2 linked regions of the Caenorhabditis elegans genome follow. The protein of the gene in region 1 purifies or fractionates together with the protein of each later gene. This does not show direct contact. Each region holds a gene or a part of one and is shown in the gene's direction. Other genes may lie near its edges. The genes, in order: scyl-1 and syx-16.

Region 1 (8,786 bases):
CTCCAACATCACGGCACACTGTGAACGAAGCATCGTAAGCTTCAACAAGCTTTTCCAAACGGGCAGATGTGTCACTGTTTCCGATCTGAAAAAATATATTAATTGAAATTTGTTCTACCAAAACTGAAAATTTCGAAACTTACAGCCAATAATCCCAATTGATTCAACTTCTGCTTGTTCTCCTCTTCACGAACATTGAGTGGAGTGTATACTGGGGTAAGAGCTCCGAGTGCGGCAACAAGTTCGGCATTTGGGAAGCGAGAATTTGGAAGTGTGATGAGAAGTGGAGATTTAACACCAGCAGAAAGAGCCCTGAAAATAGATAATAATTATAAACTGACATCATTAGATATGACAGTTATTCTAGACCAACGTTCAAACCGCACCTATGGTGTTATTCACGGAAATGACGCAGTTCGCCCCCACAATCAGTTATGCTGATCTATGCTTTCCTCCGCACGTTTTCTGATAACTGTCTTCCATAAAGTCTTATCATTTTTTCTCCAAGTACTACGAGAATTAATAAATTAGCGCGCTCTTAGAATTAAAATCATCTAAGCCAATTGTTCTATTATTTGCTTAAACGGTGTAGTCATTTAATTAATACGCTTCAAAATGATGTTGGATGCACATTAGTACTAACATAGAAATTCCCTTCCGAGCAGCAGCCTGGTAACGACGGACATCATCATAGTCACGTGACACATTTCCAGTTCCTGATAGAATCAGTCGTCCAGATGGAACGACAGATGAGTCGACTTGAACGAGAGACGTTGAGTTGAACGCACCAGAGTGTAGCTGAAAAGGAAGATTAGGGTATTATTAGAGATTATTGAGAAAAGGGCGAACCTTTAAGAAATTGTTAACGGCTGGAGCGATTGCGGAGACCTGTTGGATCGCTCCGAACTGTTGAACATTGTCCTGACTTCCGACGAGCACGACAGCATCAAAAGCGGCGTCGGCGATTGATGTCGCGCGGACTATTTTTGTAGATAGGAGGGATTGAAGTGACATTGAAAAGGAAATATACCCTGAAAGCGATATAAATAAAATGAGAAATATGAAGGCGGGAAGAAGGAGGATATATAAGAAATTGAGTTTCAAGGTTTGAAGAGAAGTGGTTATGAAGTTTGTAGGAGCAAAAGAGATGGCAGGCTAGTTCTTTTCGATAAAGCCATAAATAGAAAATACTGCGCTCATTGAACGAAAAGAGTTCAATTCAGTCATGTGCACGCAATTCTGGAATAAAAATCATTAAATGAAAAACGATGTGCGTCTTTAATTAACGCTTATCAGTAGCATATGTTGAAACAAGGAAAAGGAGGGACACATCTGCGATGTCATCTACTCTCTCAGCTGGCTGACTGACAGGCTGATAAACGCCGTCAAGTCGGCTGTCTGCTAATTTGATTTATAATTTATTGCGTGTTTGTACAAGCATGGGAGAGCACTGAAATCACCGGCAGACACTGAAACTTTTGGAGCGACTAGTCGCTATAAATGATAGAAAGTGGGCGGAGATTCGGAGAAAATGAAATTGACGTAGGTTTCCTGATGGCGCCAAATTTCGAGACTTTTCCAGAGGAAATTAGAGAAATATGTGACTTATAATTAGATTTCAAGGAAAACCTGAGCACACGTCATGAAAATAATGATATTAGAACTTATTTAAATAAACGTCGAGGTCGATGTCGAAATTTTTATTTTGCGGAAGAATCAGAGAATGGTCTCACAGTAAAATGATCAGAAATTTGAGCGCAAAAAGATTGCAAAGCATACAAAATTGACAAAAAAACCTATTCTGTAACAATGCGTTCTTTTGTAATTATAGAAACGGATACATTGAATTTTGTTCTTTTGATAGAAACGGAAACAATTAATTTTCGCGAACGTTTCGCAGCAAACATCACATGACAACAAATCGATTTCCATTTTCCGCTTAGAAATCTCGAAAAAAGCAGTATTGGTCGAGTGAGTTTTCGGGCTGTCTATTGATAAACACTGACCCGTTTATACACATTTTAGCGGAAGACTGGTTGACGTTCTGGTCTTTTTCTATAAAATGAGTATGGGAAAAAATTCCGCAAATTTTTTGAATTAGAAATGGGAATATGAAAGTTCGAAACTATAAATTTTCGAGCGCTTTGCATCATTCGACACCATAGGGCATGTTGGTTCAGGCCGGAGGCGATTAGGTCGTCAGTTTTCAGAGAAATGTGTTATCAGGTGTAAGACATACACACAAATATTCACACTTACACGCGGGGCTGTGCAGAACTTGATTTGCGAGCCAAAAAATGTTGTCATCACGGAATTTCCCACCTTTATCGCGTTTTCGAAGGTGTACTATTTTGTGACTGACATTCCAGAAGCATTATTGTGATCAAACGATCAAAAATAGAAGGAATTTAATATATACGAGGAGAAAAATCATTAAAAGATATGGAAAAAAAGGAAAAGTGCTGACTAAATAGTGAGAGCTAAAAAAATTATCGAAGAATTTTGAGCAAGGGTACTGTAGATTTTAAAGGCGCAGATGCGACCAAAGTGATGGGCATCGGCACGAGAAGTACAGTCACTGGTTTTTAAAATTCTTTTGAATCATTTTCGAATATATTTTTCTTTGTCTCTTTCAATGTTTTTCATTAAATACCAGATCATTTCTAGACATTCTGAAAAACTAAATGTAAACTGAAGCTCTAGTAATTTGATAAAACATTATTATGTTTCAGTTCTATCGCATTTCACTATTTTCGGTAAGATTTATATAAATTCATTGAGAAACCAGAGAAACTAGGAAAAACAAAGCCAAAATAAACGAGAATGAGTCTATTCTCATCTTTTAAAGTGAGTGAAAGAGAGACGAGACGCAGAGAAACTGCAATCGATGCGTCAGTAGTGACAATCTTGCCCCTTTTTCTATTAAATGTGTTCAAATTCGATTTCCACGTAACCCGACCGGTTTTCCAGCGTTTCAATTTTACGGAGAGATTATTTTATAAATTTCGATCACTTTTAGGGATGGCATCGGTGTTGTCATCCTTCTTCCAACGGGATCCGAAGTCCCAATTCCCATATGACATTCCTGGAGCAGAAGAACACTTTTTCGATCGAGTTTCGATCGGAAATAGCTTTAAGAAAGTGAGTTTTTGCATTTTTAGCTGTTCAATGAATATTTTCAATAAATATTGTAGGCTGAACCCGGTGAACTCGCAACAATCTTCTGGGACAACCGAAGTTCAACGTTAAAACAACAAGCACAAAAGCTGAAAACCATGCGCCATCCTAACATTATCACTTATTTAGATAGTATTGAAGTGGGTTTTCGCAATTTGATGACTTCACACGAACGGATTTTTCAGCTAGAAGGAACTTTCTACCTCGTCACGGAAAAATGTAAACCACTGGAGCTGTATTTAAAGGAAGCCGGTCTCACTGAAAGCCAAAAAGAATTTGTTGTTTCCTGGGGAATGTTTCAGTTATTAGTATGTTTTTTAATAGTTGTAAACTTACAAATAATCTATTTTTGTTCAGAACGCTCTAAAATTTATGCACGAAGCTAAACTAAGTCACGAAAATCTGCGTAAAGGAGTATTTGTAACAGCCGGAGGAGATTGGAAAATTGGTGGACTTCATTTGGTCACTGGATTCACTAGTCCACAGACAGATTTAAATCAATTAGCAATTGTTTTATGGGAAGTTTTCAATGGATTCAATGACGCTATCACAAGACCACAGGCTCCAGGGAAGATACCACAACGGATACACGAATTATACAAAAAAATTGGAGCACAATCAGCTGCACGACTTGCAGTTTGTGATATTATTAAAGATAATCCAAAATTAATTTTGTTGTTTTTATTCAGTTTCAAAGATTTCAGAATATCGACTCACTGGGGGATACTTGAAGAATAAATTCGTGGATACTCTACTTTTCCTGGAAGAATTCGAACTGAAGGAAGCTAGCGAAAAACAATCGTTCTTCATGCATCTTCGAGAAAATATTGATATCTTCCCAGAAGACGTAGCAAAATATAAAATTCTTCCAAAACTTATTCTTACCTATGAATATGGAGATGCAGGACCGAATATTTTAATTCCTCTGTTCAAACTTGGACGTCTTCTTGATGAAGCAGAATATCAGAGAACAATTGTTCCATGTTTGTGCAAACTTTTTGGCAGTCCAGATAGAACTACAAGAGTCAAGTTGTTAGAAAGAATCGATGAATTTGCACCTCATTTGACTCCACAAATTTTGAACGACAAAATATTTGGGTTAGATTTTTTCTCTGAAATCTGAAATTCTTATTTAAATGTTTAATTTCAGAAATTTAACATCTGGTTTCTTGGACACAAATCCAGCAGTTCGCGAAAGTACAGTCAAAGCAATGGTTTCATTGGCAGAGAAACTCAACTACAATAATTTAAATGTCGAATTGATGAAGTATCTTGCCCGTTTACAAGGAGGAGATGAGCATGGAGGTATTCGAACCAACACTACCATTTGCCTCGGGAAGATCGGACACCTGATTGCACCTGCTAAACGACAAGGAATATTAATAAGCGCATTTACTAGAGCTCTGAAGGATCCGTTTGCACCATCAAGAATGGCTTCAGTTCTAGCGCTTTCTGCAACTCAACAGTTCTATCCACTCGTTGAAATTTCCAACCGAATTGTTCCGAGTCTCATTCCGTTGACTTGTGATCCTGAAAAACAAGTTAGAGATCAAGCATTCAAGGCTATTCGTGGATTCCTTGAAAAACTTGAAAAAGCATCTGAAAATCCAGCTTGCATTCCTGAACTCGAAGCTGGAGTTAAAGCCGGAGCAAGTTCTATTCTGGACCACGAGAAAGTTCCACAATGGGCAAGTTGGGCTCTCAAGTCATTATCTGGAAAGTTTTATAAGGGACCACCTCCAGCAGAAGTCAAACCAGGAGCGCCAGCTACTGCTGATACTTCCTCAAGACCAGTAACACCTAACCCAACGGCGGAGAAAGGTTTGTTCTGCAATTTTTTCAATAAGTTGTTAATATTTTTATTTTCAGAAAAATCAAGCACAGTTCTCAAACCAACCCCTGCTAAACCTGCAACAAATGATGGTTGGGGAGATTTAACAGATGGAGGAGATATGTTCGCAGTGAAGGATTCAAATGATTCTGCTATTGATGATTGGGCTGATATCAACACGAAGTCTAATGATGCTGATGACTGGGGAGTTGGTTGGGATACTCCAGTAAGAATTAAGGTTTTATTTACTTAAACCATATTGTCTTATTTCAGATAGCAACTGCCACATCATCTCCCATTCCTGGAGTCAAAAAGTCATCATCTAGTTCGTCTGCAGCCGCGAAGAAGCCAACAATTGGACGATTAAACTTAGGATCGAATCTGGCAGGATCATCTGCTCAGAAACAAACCAAAAAAGCTATTGATGACAATATTGATGCACTTCTCGGAATATCAGCACCTCCAGCTGCGGGATCTTCAGTCAAGCCGAATTCGCTGAATGCTCTCATGAACAATTCTTCCTCTTCTACAAATACTGGTAAATATTATTTCCTTAGCATATGTTTTATTTTCTCACGTAGAATTTAGTTATGAAACTTGTTTGATCTTTTTTTAATGTTATCTGAAAACATGTATATTTTCAGGATGGGGATTCGATGATCCTTTACCAACAACTAATAATTCATCAGCTAACAAAGGATGGGACGATGATGGATGGGGTGATAACAGTATGTCAAGCAATGTGCTTCAGCCAACTGCAGTACTCCAACCAACGAAAATGAAGGATGATAAAGGTACGGTCACCGTTGTTGGAGAATAACAATCCGCTTGCATTTTTCATTTTCCAGATGCTCGTCGAGCCGAGATGCAGGCTAGAAATGAAGCTCGTCGCAAAGAACAAATGGATCGCAAAAAATCTGCCGGAGCAATGAAATTGGCATCTGTAGAAAAGAAAATGGACGATTTTGCTGACTGGTAACAAGAAACTCGCTTCGTTTTGTAGTAGAGATCACCCTACTTGTATTTCACATTTTTGTAATTAAAACTGTTTTATTCGACCCCATTTGTATCAAATCCTAACAAGGGAAGTCTTTGAGGAGGTCCGTAGATTTGGGGTTCTCATGCTAAAATTCCTACAGAAGAGTGTTAGTTATGATCTCTCCAAAAAATTTAGCTGCCCCGGTCAAGTTTCAGCAAAGTTATGACGTTTTGAAATTTCAGTTAAAAACACCATTGAAATCCACTGTCTTACCATGCAATCCACGCAAATCTCAGCTTGCGTGACCACCGAAAATGTGACACCCACCACATTGAGTTGAAAAATGTCCTCGGTGGCCGAGTTGGGAGTGCGCGCGTCTGATAAGATTTAGGCTTTGGTTCGATTCCTTCTATTTTTGAAATATTTTTGTAAGTTGAATAAAGTTTTAAACAACCTATTCAAACATTTTTGCGCCTTTTTAAAGTGATTTTATTCTTATTCGGGAACCTAGAATCATTGTCCGCACTTTTTGGAAATTTTTATTTTTTTCATTTTTGCTCAAAATTTCTTGATCAACTCCAAGCAAAAAAATCAAAAAATTTCATTTTTCTAAACAATTATGAAATTGCTATGTTGTTGTTCAGAAATGTATGAAACGTACATTACACAAGTTTTAACTCTCTATTCGCAAGTAAACCGTCGAAATGATCTACATCTCACGAACTTTGTGCAAAATATTTAACCAACTTTGAAGTTGCATAACTTCGTTGAGATAAATTATTGTGAAAAATGATCAACTAACAAAATGTTTGTTGAATAACAGTGAACAAAGTTTTAGTTATAAACTTTTTGATACCTTCAGCCACCAAAAAGTTGTGACCGTTTTCCAAAACACAATGTTAATAGAAAAACTAGCCAAATGCCAACCTTGTTTTCTTCTTTGTAGCTGGAGGTATCAAAAAGTTTATAACTAAAACTTTGTTCACTGTTATTCAACAAACATTTTGTTAGTTGATCATTTTTCACAATAATTTATCTCAATGAAGTTATGCAACTTCAAAGTTGGTTAAATATTTTGCACAAAGTTCGTGAGATGTAGATCATTTCGACGGTTTACTTGCGAATAGAGAGTTAAAACTTGTGTAATGTACGTTTCATACATTTCTGAACAACAACATAGCAATTTCATAATTGTTTAGAAAAATGAAATTTTTTGATTTTTTTGCTTGGAGTTGATCAAGAAATTTTGAGCAAAAATGAAAAAAATAAAAATTTCCAAAAAGTGCGGACAATGATTCTAGGTTCCCGAATAAGAATAAAATCACTTTAAAAATGCGCAAAAATGTTTGAATGAGTTGTTTTACAACTTTATTCAACTTACAAAAATAGAAGGAATCGAACCAAAGCTTAAATCTTATCAGACGCGCGCACTCCCAACTCGGCCACCGAGGACATTTTTCAACTCAATGTTGTGGGTGTCACATTTTCGGTGGTCACGCAAGCTGAGATTTGCGTGGACTGCATGGTAAGACAGTGGATTTCAATGGTGTTTTTAACTGAATTTTCAAAACGTCATAACTTTGCTGAAACTTGACCGGGGCAGCTAAATTTTTTGGAGAGATCATAACTAACACTCTTCTGTAGGAATTTTAGCATGAGAACCCCAAATCTACGGACCCCCTCAAAGACTTCCCTTGTAAGTACATCAAACAATTTCCTGTGATTCTATCCATTAACGTATTCTATTCATGTTTTTCTTTCTTTTTCTCATTTCCTTCGCTTCCAAACAAAAATTGCTCGCATTTCATGTTCTTTCTTTTCAAAAAAATTATGATGGTTAAAATAAAACTTTAAAAAATGTACACTTGGTTTTACTATTGAATCGTCGGACCCATGCTGTGTTGCTGTGGTGCAAAAGGTAATTTTTGACACTAACAAAAGTTTAGGCAAGTAGGTAGGCATGAGATAGGCTCGTAGGCAAATATGGGAAGGTACGTAGGCAGACTTGAGGTATGTTTGAAAACAAAATTACACTTGATGTTCTTTTGGGACAAAAATGTGCAGCCCATACATGTTGGACTCATGCTGTGATTCGATGTATTGGAAAGGGATCACATCAATTACGAAACATCGAAACATGCATTTTGTAACTACTCCTGTTTCATCTCTTCTTCTTTCAGCTTTACTAAATGACCGAAATTCAACCACCAACACCCTCACTTCTTACGAAAATGTTCAAAACTCGGTTATTTGTAATTTTTCTGATATTAACTGGTAGGGTAATAGGAACATTCAAAAGTTCAAACTTCCAATTACAGTAATAATTCTATCTACAAATGTTTGCAATAGAACTACGTTACCAATGTAAGTCCAAACACCGATAATTATTTCAAGACACAATAAAAAAAGACATAAATATAGGTAGGCTTGAGGTAGGCACATAGACAGATAAGAGGTATGTAGAGGGGCAGGGAAGCGCTTGGTGCGTAGATAAAGTGGGAAGGTTTGAAGTAGGCATGAGGCGGAAGCGTACTACCGAATAGGTGTTTGTCTATTTAACCCAGAAATTTGGCCTTATTCTATAAAACTGTAGACATTTTCAAATGTTTCAGAACTTCAGAGTATTTCACCAATTCTAATAAAAACAAGAAATATCTTTCAAGCAGGCTCGCAGCAGGAATGAGATTAGGTATTTGAAAAAAATCATAAAATTTAAAGAAATAAGTTTCAGGAAATCACATTTTTGAAATGGCTGCTTTATTGGGAATGTCAAGGCAGCTACATCGTAAATCCTTGTTC
Region 2 (5,442 bases), on another chromosome or scaffold:
TTCAAATTCAAACGAAAAAGTGGGACAGAGGCATTCCTGTAGGTAGGCATGTAGGCAGGAGCCGTTTTTTTTTTCAATTTTTTCATTTCACTGGAAATGAATCTGCTGTGATAAAGCCGAGAATGTTTATATTTTCGCTGTGATTCATAAATAAAGAATTTTCGGCCAACCATCCTCTTCATCCATAACGTTGTTCTCTCACAGCCCCCGCACACCATTAAAATATTTCCAGGAAATGTGTCGTTTTGCAGTATAAAAGTGGTGTCCATCTACTTCTATCCATGTTCTTTTCAATCTGAATGCAAAAACTCCCCTTGCTAAAAAAAATCCCTCATCTCTGCCTACACGCCTAGATCAACCTTACCTACGCCTACAGACATGTCTCACGTCAGTTGTATTATTGAAACAACAAGATCCTAAAAAAATCCAAAAATGATAAGTGGTCTGAAGGTATCGAGAAGGCTGCGTATGTGTGTCAACTCACAAGCGCGGTCCGGCCACTGCACCACGCGGTCGCTTTTGTCTGCTACCTTTCGGTCCTGAACCATCCACGACTCCTTATGCACCCGGGACTAACCGCCTTCCGACAGTTATCCCCTGGTGACGTAGCGCTTGGCACGGACGCTCGGTCGACGTAGACAACGACATACACAGGACTCCTCCTCTCACTCCATCCACACTTATCTACCGTCAAGAAGCTGACTCACAAGCGCCCGCCACGACGCTCGGTGGTTTTTCGCAATGCGAAAGGAAAGACGAGTCTATGGGGAAAGGGAGAGTGCAACGGTCAGAACGTTTTATTTAGTACGTGAGTTTTGTTGCAATGCTTTATAAAATAGCATTTTTAATATAGAACACTTTTGGTAATTACCTAATTGCAATAAATGCGACCCGTAGGTCCTGCCGCGCGCAAAACTTTTCAACTACAGTACCCTTCAACTACAGTATTACGGTGTGTGTTTTCTTTTCTTTTTTAATTTCAATACACTTTTTATTAACTCTTCAATAAAAATAGTTTGAAAACTAAAGGACAACGCTTAGTAATTTAATTTTTCAAATATTTGATGCCAATCTGTCGATATAAGATATTTGTAAAAATGTTTCTATTTTATTCGGTTATGTAACAGCTGTCTGACGAACTTTTTTGCGGCTAAAGGGTCACTTGTCGTCTTTGTGATTGATATATTTCACTTTGTTTCATATCATTCTCTCATGTGAACTAAACAATTATTTATGTTGGTAAGCAACTGTTTACCAGTGTGGCTAATAACCCTAATTTCGTTTTTACACTACTGTTTGAAAATTATGATCAGAAATTCGAGCATTTTCAATGTTGCAACAAAAAATTTTCAAAAAACGATCTGATAATTGGTCGTTGTTGAAGAACTTTTGGGTAAATATACAGTAACCTTGGTTTTCTAAGTCTCTCATTGTGATACAATCACTAAATGTCCACGTAATAGATGATTTATTTCTTTGTGTGCCTCCTCCACACATCTCGATGTAAAGTGTTCGATTATTGTAAAGCATTCTACTTTCTTGTGCACAATCATAAAATATATTATTCCTCCGTTAAAACACTTTTGTTCTTTTTTGAATTTTATTGTTTAAAATGTGATACGACAATTTAAAGGCGCATGCCGTTTTTTCTGCTCGTAGAATGTGTAAATTCACATTCTGAAATGCATGAAGATTGATCTGAGTCACCATAAAATGTAAAAAGTCACACATCTTTCAAGACTTAAAGTGCAATTTTTTCTTTTCCAATTTTGTAAAATATTTCCACTGAAAAGAAACAATGTGTTGTGATTATTTGCAGAATTTGCGAAAAAGAAAAGTTTAGAAATTCTGAAAAAACGTGCGTTGGACTTGCAAAAACTAAAATTTTTCTTGGCAATAAGTTCTTGTTTTTTACGAACACAGTGTACAATCTTACTATTTATTTTTTTCGAATTATTTCAGTTTTCAGCCGAACGTATTTTCTTTCTGAACAATGCCACTGGACACATCAGCATGAGCTACACCAACGGAATTGGCCATAGCGGTTTTTGACTTTACAGCATTAGCACCGGTCATTGAGCACGAATTGAAGATGAAAAATTCTTTAGATAAAATTTGAAACCTTATAATATTCTTCTAAAAGTACTATTCCTTTGCTTCCTGGTCTGATCGGTGCTTCAATCTCATACATACCTGCATATCTATTCACTAATCATTCTCACTTTGATCTTGTCATTGGGAGCTTTTCAGGTCCAAACGTTGCATACGTTTGAGTGTTTTATCAATTAAAAGCTAAAAACAGTCAAGTCTGATGTATCAATGCCAAAGGATGTTGTTTTCCACTGTTTTGAGAATCGAAAAAAAAAATTGTTTTCAAAATTTTCGACTTGCCTACATATTTTAGTTTTTATTTTCCAGACTGAGTTTTTCAGAAAGTTGTTAATTTTTTCATTTCTGTTGCTAATATTTTAAATTTAGAAATTTATTTTCAAAATTACAATCTACGATTTTTGCACAAAAATTCGGTGCCAAAAATCAGCACGACAAGTTTTCGTTAAATAAAAGAAGTGTGCACCTTTGAAGAGTACTGTAAATTTAAACTTTTGGTGTTGATTATCAATTTTCTAAATGTTTTGAAGAAAATTTAATTTTTTATTAAAAACTAAAGCGAAATAATATGAAAACACTTGAATTTGAACAACTCGAGAGAAATACTATGTATGAAAAATTTCAAACTACAGTAACCTTTAAAGGCGCACACCTTTTCGCATTTAATAAATATTATCGTGTCGAGACCGGGCGTCGTATTTTCGGAGCTGAAATCGCAAAATTTTGCGTTCAGGCTTTTCATAAAACAATAAATGTGGGTTGAATGATTCTTTCGCTCGCCGGCAACTTTTTTTCTTTCCATTTATCGCAGCCGATATGCAAGAAAATTCCAAAGTAAACACGCTCCATCGCACATTCCCCTTTTTCCTCTCCAAATTGATGTCGTTCGCTGGATAACGTCACTCTGGAAGTAAATTTGCAACGTTTTTATTCTAGCATTTTATTGATTTTTTCCAGATGGCTTCCTCTTCTGTTACCGCTGCTGCAAATGCTGCAAAGAAAAATGAAATTTACGGAACAACGAGAAATTTGACAGAAGTTTTTATGCTTTTACGTTCAAATGCTCATCAAAGTCGATTAATTTATAAAGATGATACAGATATAATTGTGAGGAGTCGTGGTGATGGTGAGTATTCTGAATTGGTTCAAATATTCATTAAATGACTTTTATTAAATAGGTTTTTCTAAAATCTCTTCTTTTCAAATGATCAAATTCTGTACTGCGAATTGCAGTCTGCAATAATGTATTTTTCAGAAGAACGAATGGCCTTAGTGGAACTTGAAGATGGGCGACAAGAATCCGATGAAGAGCCAGTTTGGATTCATACTGCTGATCAAGTAGAATTCGAAGTTGAAAGAGTTCAGAGAAGACTAGATGAACTTGGAGAGGCACAGAGAAAACACATTTCGCGACCTAATTTTGGAGATGAAGCATTCGAAAAAGAAGAGAAGCAAATGGAACAGACGACGGAGCAAATCACTCAAATGCTCACACATTGTCAAAGGCTAATCAGGTTTGTTATTTACAGACTCGGTTTGACTTAGGTAATTCAAAATTTTCCAGAATGATATCTGGAAGTCATAACAAAGAAAAACCTATGCAGCGAAAGTTAAGAGAAAATGCTGCTGCAACCCTGAGCCTAACACTTAGCCAAATTACCGATGAATTTAGAGGAAGACAACTGAAATATTTGAGTGATATCCAGGTAAGCGATTTGAAAAAGTTTCATTCAGCACATCAAAATTGTTTCAGAATCGTTCCCGTAACGTGGACAATTACCTTATCACAACAGATCCACTGATTGATGCTCCCAATTGGGCTGAGCTAGATGTGTCACCATCTACAGAAATATCAATGGCCCAGCTTCAACAATTTATGAATAACGATCGAGAAGTTCGAGAGCGCGAAAAGGAAGTGATGGCTGTGAACACATCAATTAGAGAATTAAATACACTCTTCCAGGATTTATCAGAAATGATTGTAGATCAAGGAAGCGTCATTGATAGGTAAAACGAAGCTTTAAGGTCAATTATAGTAAATTTTAATTTCAGAATAGACTATAATGTTGAACAGACCTCGATTCGTGTGTCGAAAGCAGTTGAAGATGTCTTCAAAGCGGAACGATATCAAAAAGGAAACAAAAAAATGCATTGTATTTGTATGCTCACTGTTGCCATTATTTTTGTACTGATTCTTATTATTGTTACTAAATTGTAATTCTTTTACTTCAGTAGTTTTATTTATATTTTTTGAATAAACCGGGTATTTTATTGATTTCTCTAGTTCAATCAATGAAATTCTAATTTTAGATTCCGGTTAGATTCCGTAATGCAGATATTTCCTTGTTTTATTCAAATTTAAAATTCTTCCACTACTTAATCTGTAATTAAAAATGTTCTCTATATAAAACTCGTGCACATCACTCTAGAGCAGGGATTCATTATGTTGCCGCATTTTCACTCGGATCATGTTACTCTTCGAATTCCTCTGATAATTTAGTCATTTTCTTCCGTCTAAATTCGTTTAAAATCAACTGATTAACGCCAAAGCCAATTTTTCTTTCTCTTTCCGCCAAAAGCCTTGAAATTGACTACCGTAACACTTGTCGCTTCGAGACCCAGGCCGCATTTCGGACCGCCCGCAGCACGCGTCGCGGAGCTTTTGGGCGAGATATTTCGAAAAATGTTGTTGTTGTGTTTTCCTTTCACGATTTTTTTCTTTTGGGCGCAAATAATGGCTTTTTAATACCGGATATATGCTGCATTGGCCTAAAGTGTTTCGAATGGCCCACAAAATTCCATTTGTCCTCTGTTCGGGCCTCTATTTTTCAATGTCTTTAACCTTTTCTCAAGTTTACCTTTTTCTCCGTCGATCACCCTTTTCTTCAAGGACTATTATCCAAAAATGATTGATTTAAATATATTTCAGCATTTACGAAAATAATGATGCCCAATGACACTAATGGGGATGACTACAAAAAGCTGGAAAAAGCTTCAGTGAACCTCAACTTCCTGAAAAGCAACAGGTAAATTTTAATCTTTCTAAAACACATTCAAAATCAATACCCATAAAAATTTCAGTCACACCCACATTGGTCCCTTGTCGGCAATAGCAGAGCTAGTGGATAATGCGTATGACGCAGATGCGAGAGATCTTCACATCGATTTTCGTAAGTTTTGAATTGTTAATTTCAGTAGAGAGAAAATGTTTATATTTACAGTGGACATCAATAATGAACAGTTTCTTGAACTTCGTGATGATGGACTGGGCATGGCTCGCGAAGAGGCACTTCACGCCATCACGTTTGGACACTCAGCAAAATGTTCTTACAA

What was found.
Region 2: the proteins of scyl-1 (region 1) and syx-16 fractionate together in Caenorhabditis elegans (co-fractionation; one large-scale study listed by BioGRID). This does not show direct contact.

The regions. Positions count from the first base shown.
Region 1 is NC_003283.11:13,035,957-13,044,742, reverse strand, and holds scyl-1 (Protein kinase domain-containing protein), read left to right. Parts: upstream 1-3,021; coding exon 3,022-3,141; intron 3,142-3,194; coding exon 3,195-3,317; intron 3,318-3,362; coding exon 3,363-3,485; intron 3,486-3,534; coding exon 3,535-3,832; intron 3,833-3,881; coding exon 3,882-4,275; intron 4,276-4,327; coding exon 4,328-4,998; intron 4,999-5,046; coding exon 5,047-5,234; intron 5,235-5,281; coding exon 5,282-5,546; intron 5,547-5,652; coding exon 5,653-5,802; intron 5,803-5,856; coding exon 5,857-5,987; 3' UTR 5,988-7,849; downstream 7,850-8,786. Other genes in the region: lap-2 (Putative aminopeptidase W07G4.4), read right to left, coding at 1-85, 144-312, 644-798, 850-1,014; W07G4.2 (L-Fucosyltransferase), read left to right, coding at 8,177-8,261, 8,306-8,351, 8,600-8,676, 8,719-8,786.
Region 2 is NC_003281.10:5,206,508-5,211,949, reverse strand, and holds syx-16 (t-SNARE coiled-coil homology domain-containing protein), read left to right. Parts: upstream 1-2,840; 5' UTR 2,841-3,019; intron 3,020-3,066; coding exon 3,067-3,235; intron 3,236-3,364; coding exon 3,365-3,623; intron 3,624-3,673; coding exon 3,674-3,815; intron 3,816-3,862; coding exon 3,863-4,116; intron 4,117-4,161; coding exon 4,162-4,327; 3' UTR 4,328-4,383; downstream 4,384-5,442. Other genes in the region: ATPase morc-1, read left to right, coding at 5,056-5,135, 5,191-5,279, 5,331-5,442.